Linked DNA regions of Bombyx mori. Each later gene encodes a partner of the first gene's protein in a complex. Links are inferred from orthologs where the notes say so. Each region holds a gene or a part of one and is shown in the gene's direction. Other genes may lie near its edges.

Evidence for each region. Proteins that work in one complex are often made in the same cells at the same time.
Region 2: eIF3i (region 1) and eukaryotic translation initiation factor 3 subunit L share a complex: the UniProt entries of both Drosophila melanogaster proteins name them as parts of the eukaryotic translation initiation factor 3 (eIF-3) complex. The link is inferred for Bombyx mori from reciprocal best matches to the Drosophila melanogaster genes eIF3i and eIF3l.

Annotation. Positions count from the first base shown.
Region 1 is NC_085121.1:5,018,388-5,022,825, reverse strand, and holds eIF3i (eukaryotic translation initiation factor 3 subunit I), read left to right. Parts: upstream 1-1,508; 5' UTR 1,509-1,584; coding exon 1,585-1,587; intron 1,588-1,712; coding exon 1,713-1,939; intron 1,940-2,049; coding exon 2,050-2,182; intron 2,183-2,874; coding exon 2,875-3,042; intron 3,043-3,175; coding exon 3,176-3,634; 3' UTR 3,635-3,835; downstream 3,836-4,438. Other genes in the region: serine/threonine protein phosphatase 6, read right to left, coding at 4,319-4,438. UniProt on the Drosophila melanogaster protein: Component of the eukaryotic translation initiation factor 3 (eIF-3) complex, which is involved in protein synthesis of a specialized repertoire of mRNAs and, together with other initiation factors, stimulates binding of mRNA and methionyl-tRNAi to the 40S ribosome.
Region 2 is NC_085117.1:14,766,061-14,768,801, reverse strand, and holds the end of eukaryotic translation initiation factor 3 subunit L, read left to right. Parts: coding exon 1-265; intron 266-362; coding exon 363-548; intron 549-1,273; coding exon 1,274-1,507; intron 1,508-2,005; coding exon 2,006-2,140; 3' UTR 2,141-2,188; downstream 2,189-2,741. UniProt on the Drosophila melanogaster protein: Component of the eukaryotic translation initiation factor 3 (eIF-3) complex, which is involved in protein synthesis of a specialized repertoire of mRNAs and, together with other initiation factors, stimulates binding of mRNA and methionyl-tRNAi to the 40S ribosome.

The DNA of each region.
Region 1 (4,438 bases):
GGTTGAGCTCGCTCAATTTCAAGACTTATTGCTTTCAGAACGTAGAAATAATTTTAAGTATTATGAATACCATAAGGTTCTATGTTTGTACGTAGCAAATCACATTAGTTGCTGATTGCTGTACTATTCTCGATGGATTAATAAAGGCTGTTTGTTATACGACCAAGTTAAGTGCGTAGTGACTATTGATTGTGAGTTTTGTCTCTCGTTTGTCTCGTTCGAGTGGTGCGCCGGATGTTAGTCAAAAACAGTGTACTGGTTTGCCAAGAGAAGTTACCTACAGTTGTGTTTAGTTAGCAACGCATAACGTGTTTGTACTTTAATTTGTTTTTTAGTTGTACTCTTGGAAATCAATGGTTATTAATTTAAGAAAATAAAATGTATGTCAAATATTGTTGAAAATGTTTTATTTTTTATCCGTCTTTTATAGCGTCAAACGAAAAATCAGTTATTTCCTGGAAACATCGGGGTTAGCTTTGAGAATGTTTGGAGATCACAGTATCGATCAACCCGAATTGTACTAGCGAACATTTCAAGAAATCTTGCAAGTGGACATATTTCAAACCTAACTTTGGACTGTGGGTGCATTATTTTTAGAGCGTGGACTGTATTTTGGTGCTAGAACCGGTCACCATCCTCGTTGAACCCGTCGCTTGCGACGATGGGCTCGACGAGTGAATTAGCCCATAGACACAGCCCACTGAGTTTCTCGTCGGAGCTTCTCAGTGGGTTGCGTTTCCGATCCGGTGGTAGATTCTGCGAAGCACTGCTCTTGCTAGGGCCAGTGTTAGCAACACTTCCGGTTTGATCCCCGTGAGCTCACCTATATGTTAGGATGAAGCTGAAATAGCTTTTCAAGGCTATAGCAAGGATATACCATAGGTAGGAAAAAAGAAAAGAGAAAAAAAAGAGGTGCTAGCTTCAATAAAAACTAGATTCAGAGCGAAGAATTTTTGATGTACAACACGTGCACGTACGACCAGAATTTTATTGTAATTCTCAAATATTAAGTGTATAATCTATGATTGTAACTAAATTAAATGTATGGACTTTTTGGCGGGAACGCGAGGAGTGAAGTTGTGTGATTGGTTTTATTTTCTCTATTTAGTGTTTCTTCAGGTTTCAGTGTGTAATAACGGTGGTTTATTAACTGTTTAATATCTGCGAAAGTGCACAAATGTGGGAAAATGAAACAAAGCCGCTAGACGTAGCAATACGGGATCCTCCAAAAAGTCCACTGAAAAAATCTTAGTAAATGACACCATTTTACTGAGATTATATTTCATCCCATATCATCTCATCTCATTTAATTTAATTTCATTTCATTTCACTCCATATTATCATTTTTCATAAAAATAAGAATATAAATTAAAATAAGACATGACCTAAAGGTCTTAGTTACCAGGTCATAACATCCTATAAAAATTTACCATAGGCTATAGAGCTCAACTATGCGCCAAGCGAAGGCTAAATAAAAATTAAGAAAAAAAAATCTTCTGTCAAAAGGTCCGCCGCCTGCCACATGTCACCACATCGTTTTTATTGTGATTTATAATAAACTATTAAATAAAATACTTTCTAAACATGGTAAATAACACTCTTATACAAAATTTTAATGCCTCCAAAGTTATTGTGTGAAATATCAAACAAATTCAATCACAAACATAGCTATGACTATAAATTAGGTAAATTACTTACTCATGTAATTCCAGAAACCTCTTATGCTGCAAGGGCACCAGCGTGCCATCACACAGATCAAATATAACCGCGAGGGTGACTTGCTCTTCTCCGCCGCTAAAGATTCAAAACCAAATGTTTGGTGGTCACTGAACGGCGAACGTCTTGGCACTTTCAACGGCCACGGTGGTGTAATATGGTGCCTTGACGTCGACTGGCAGTCAATTAATCTCATCACAGGTGGTGGCGACAGTTCCTGCAGGTATTATCCTCAGTATATTATAAACAAATAAAGTGTTGAAAATTGCATTCTTTTTTCATGTTGTTTGCTCAAAGATGAGTAGGCTGTTGATAACACTAAACGATGCACAGGTTATGGGATCTGGAGACAGGCAAGAATATTGCAACACTCAAATCCAACTCTTCTGTAAGAACATGCAACTTCAGCTATAGTGCATATCAAGCTGCTTATACCACTGACAAAGCTATGGGACACCCTTGTGAGGTAATTACATAGTATATACATTTTATTTAAATAGAGAAACATGAATTGAGGATGAGAAAGACTAATGGATATTATGACTGGCAACTTTAACATTAGAAGAAAAGTAAAATTGTATGCAAAGCTAAGCATAAATATTATTATAGTTGTTTCCGTTTCAGAACTTTCATTCTCTATTAAACCACAATGTGAACTTGTCTGCTTCACTTCAAAGTGGTTTATTGAGGGCCATGCCTTAAAAAAAATCTTATTTTTTGTTCTTTAACATATCCGTCAATTAATGATTACAACTTAGTATTCAAGAGTAATTCCTACATACCTTGTATTTCTTTAAACTAAGATTTGTTGACAGTACAAGTGTCATTTATGCTGACATTTCACTTTGTTTTTTTTTATTATGCTCCAGACATTTAAAATTTATTATTACCGAAAGGCTCACTTGTAAATTTAATACCCTTTAACTTAAATCACAAAATATTTTGAGCAGGAAATACCCTTTTTCAAACTGAACTGAAACTTTGGAGTCGGTTAAATTATAGTGTGCTTAGGTAGACAATATCAACTCTTGGGAATCTCTATTTTAACCCTTAATGTGTTTCCTATATACATATACAGTAAGTTTTTACTAACTAGTATTATAATTTTGTATATCCTGTGATAACAATTAAGATATAAAGTATTATGTCAATTTACAGGTGTTCGTTATTGATACAAGAACAATTGATGAAACAGTGTCAGGTCAAGCTCCTATTTTAAAATGGGAAATCACAGATTCAAAGGTTACTTCAATGATTTGGGGTTCTTTAGATGAGACAATTATCACTGGTCATGAAGCTGGTGACCTTATACAATGGGATCTGAGGGTATGCAAATAATTATTCAATAGACTAAGTAAATTCAAATATTATCTACTTTCTCCATGCAAAAAAATTATCTTTCATAGAAATTATTCTGTTTATTTTTAAATAGTGCTAATGATATCTAATTATTTTTCAGACTGGTAAAAAAATCCACTCTGTTAAAGAGCATACCCACCAAATCACCGATATGCAACTTTCTCGTGACGGCACAATGTTTGTAACTGCTTCCAAGGATCATACTGCTAAGTTATTTGACACTAACTCATTAGAACTTCTTAAAGAATACAAGACAGAGAGACCTGTAAATTCTGCTGCTCTCAGTCCAATCCTTGATCATGTTGTACTTGGTGGTGGTCAAGATGCTATGGAAGTGACAACCACATCAACCAGACAGGGTAAATTCGATGCTCGTTTCTTCCACTTAGTATTTGAAGAGGAGTTTGGCCGAGTGAAAGGTCACTTTGGTCCTATCAACAGTTTGGCTTTCCATCCAGATGGAAAGTCCTATGCTTCCGGAGGTGAAGATGGTTATGTTCGTGTTCATAACTTTGATCAATCTTACTTTGACTACACTTTCGATTACAATAGGGAGTAGTTAATTTGCAATACTCTAGTGTTTCATAAAATTATAAGAAAATAAAGCCTCATTAAAGTTTTTTGTATATCATTTATTTAAATGCATGCCACTTTATCAATCTACATATATAATAAAACAATTAATTCAGTACGTCTATACATTTAGGAAATTTTATATAAGTAGAAAAATAATAATTAAAGAACAGTAATAGAACATAAACTGGACATTTTTAGAATTGGTCACCATTTGTCTGTTCACCCACATTTGTCACATATTTCTGAATCTATTGAAAGGATTTTCACTGCATATATATTGAAACATTGTATGGAAATAGTTTAACCTTTAAAAAACTGGGATGCCTTTCATTCCACTGCTGAGCATGGATCTCTTCCACCCATGTGATATGTAATGCAGCAGAAAGCTAGTTTGTAATATATTCTGTTAATCCCATTATTCATTTTCAACAGACTATTTCATGATGGTACATATTTAATAATAAAAGGTAAAATTAAATATATAAATATAAAAAACGAAGGTATAAATAATGAAGATTTAAAAAAATTATAGTAATATGTCAAAAAGAACAGATCTCATAATAAAGAACATAAAAGTGGGTCAATAAACAAAAAAATTGTAATAGATGCAACATTTATTAATACAAAACTTTACACTTATGGAATACTTTGATCACATAATCTCAGCTCAAAGGAAATATGGAGTAGTATGCTGTGGAGGAACTTCTCGTTCGGTGTCAGGCACTGCTTGGAATAACCTTGCTGTTCTATCATGAACAGTGTTGAATTCCAAGATTGAGGCAACATT
Region 2 (2,741 bases), on another chromosome or scaffold:
TAAGAAGTCTCAATACTCTCACGTGCCGGCGTGTCAGATCTCCACGTCATACTATGTCGGATTCGCGTACATGATGATGCGTCGGTACGCCGACGCCATCCGCACCCTCTCTTCTGCGCTGCTATACATGCAACGCACTAAACAATTGTTCTCCTCCCGTTCCTACCAGAATGATCAGATCAACAAACAGACCGAGCAAATGTACCATTTACTGGCCATTTGTTTGGTCTTGCATCCGCAGTGCGTTGATGAATCCATCCAGCAGGTTAGTAACCTATCATACCAGCTTTATCTAGATGACTTAAAATATAGTGTATGTACTAATTATATTATATTCATACAAATACAAATTCTATATCCAGGTGCTTCGAGAAAAGAACTACCATGAGAAGATGTTTAAAATGCAATATGGAGACCTAGGTGAATTCGAGAGCTGCTTTACTTTCGCGTGCCCCAAATTCTTATCGGCGTGTCCCCCGCCCATTGAACCCGGTGCCAACTATGGCCGTGATGCTGTCAAACACCAGACCCAAGTCTTTATGGACGAGGTAATATTAGTGATAGTATTGTGACATTATCTATCTATCAATTTAAACAAGACTAGTTTGGTTTATTATACCTCTTCTTCATTTGACTCCAACAATCTCTATTCATAGGATGAGAGTCAAGCTTAATTAAACCTGGTTGAACGATACCCAACTATGGTTTCATCTCATGTTGATTTTTTTTTTTCGGTCCTGGGGCCTAACCTACGAGGTCCCCACGCCTAGGGGGCGCGCGAGGTATGTGGGACTTGACGGTCTGCAGGTGTTGGGAGCAGACCGCGGGCCCAAGGAATTTTAGGGCCCTACCGCACTAAACGACTGCCCTGCACTCACTGTTACACCCGACGTCCGATCTCCATCCGGGGTCAGAGTAGGGGGTTCCCACGGTCAACAATACAACTAGACACGCGGCGCCACCCCAAGGACGCCCGACCAACGGGTCGTCGAGGCGTTAGTCGACAACCAACGACGCCGGTCTCCGCGGTACGGCGGCGCTACTAGGCCGCCCGGGCGATGCCACTGGTGTTCCGGGATCCGCTGGGACAGAACCAGCCTGCCGGGTCAGAACGCCATACACCGCCGACCGGGTTCCTCTTTTCCACAGTATGTTCGGCGACGACAGCGACGACGACAATGCGGACTGTTCATATTGATACTTTAACTTTAGCCAACTTAGAGTCTCTTTTTCTCATATCTCTAACGAGTAACCTTCACTTATTATATTGTAGGTCCGTCAACAAAAAATGCTTCCGACCATACGTTCCTATTTGAAACTATACACCACCCTCCCGATGGCGAAACTAGCTGCATTCATGTCTGCTGCTCGCGGCAGTGAGCGTGACGCGGCACGTGAACATGCGGCTCTCGCCATTCACTTGCTCTGCTTCAAGCACAAAATGAAGAACGTAGTTTGGACTAAAGGCCCCAGTGGTCTTGATGGAAAATTCCAAAGTGGTTCTGAGGTAAACAAACCTGTTATACTGCCTATAATTATTATTTATCTTAAGCTGGAATTCAAGTCGTCGTGACCTAAAGGATAAGACGTCCAGTGCGTTCGTATCTAGCGATGCAACGATATACGAATCCCGCAGGCATGTAGCAATTTTTCTAATGAAATACATATTTAACAAACGTTCACGATTAACTTCCACGGTGAAGGAAGTGTAATAAAAATCAAACCTGCAAAATTATAGTTTGCGTAATTACTGGTGGTAGGACGTCTTGGTACCACCACCTTGCCTATATCTGCCCTGAAGCTGTAATGAGTTTGTTTGAAGGGTGGTGCAAAAGTTGTAATATACTGAGACCTTAGAAATAATATCTCAAGGCGGGTGGCGGCATTTACTGCATAGATGTCTATGGGCTTCAGTTAACTACTTAACACCAGGTGGGCCGTGAGCTCGTCCACACATTTAAGCAAAGAAATAAAATAATAATTCAATACTACTTTTCTTTTTCAGTTGGATTTCTACATCGACAACGATATGATTCATATCGCAGATACGAAAGTGGCTCATCGCTATGGTGACTTTTTCATCCGCAAGCTGTTGAAGTTTGAAGAACTAAATAGAAAACTACACCATATTAAAATTTAAAATGGCCATTGTATCAAAACATTTACAAATAAATGATTTATACTAAAATGTCTTTAAAAACTCACAAATTACAAATTTGCATAATTACTTATGGTGTCTTGTCATTTTCTACTACAAAGCAGTCGTACGTCCGGTTTAAAAGGATAGTCATAATAAAATACAATTAGGAATTCAATATCATAAGGATAGTGGCTTTCAAATTGTGATGTCTGTGTTCTAGTAATGACTTAACAACGCACCATCGGCTCTTGGTGAGATAAAAAAATGGGGTGGCCCACAACCTTTCAAATAAATTACGTGAGAGGTGATGATCACTCATGATAAAAAATGTTTTTTTTTTTTACCTACCTAAGCTGAGAGCCTTGAAAAGCTTTATCAGCGTAACCTTAACGGTAGTAGGTGAGCTCACGGGGCTCGAACCTGACGACGTTGCTAGCACGAACCCTAGCAAGAGCCGTGCTTCGCAGAATCTACCACCGGATCGGAAACGCGACCCACTGAGAAGATCCGGCGAGAAACTCAGTGGGCTGTGTCTGAGGGTTAATTTACTCGTCGAGCCCTTCGTCGCAAGCGACGGGTTCGACGAGAACGATGACCGGTG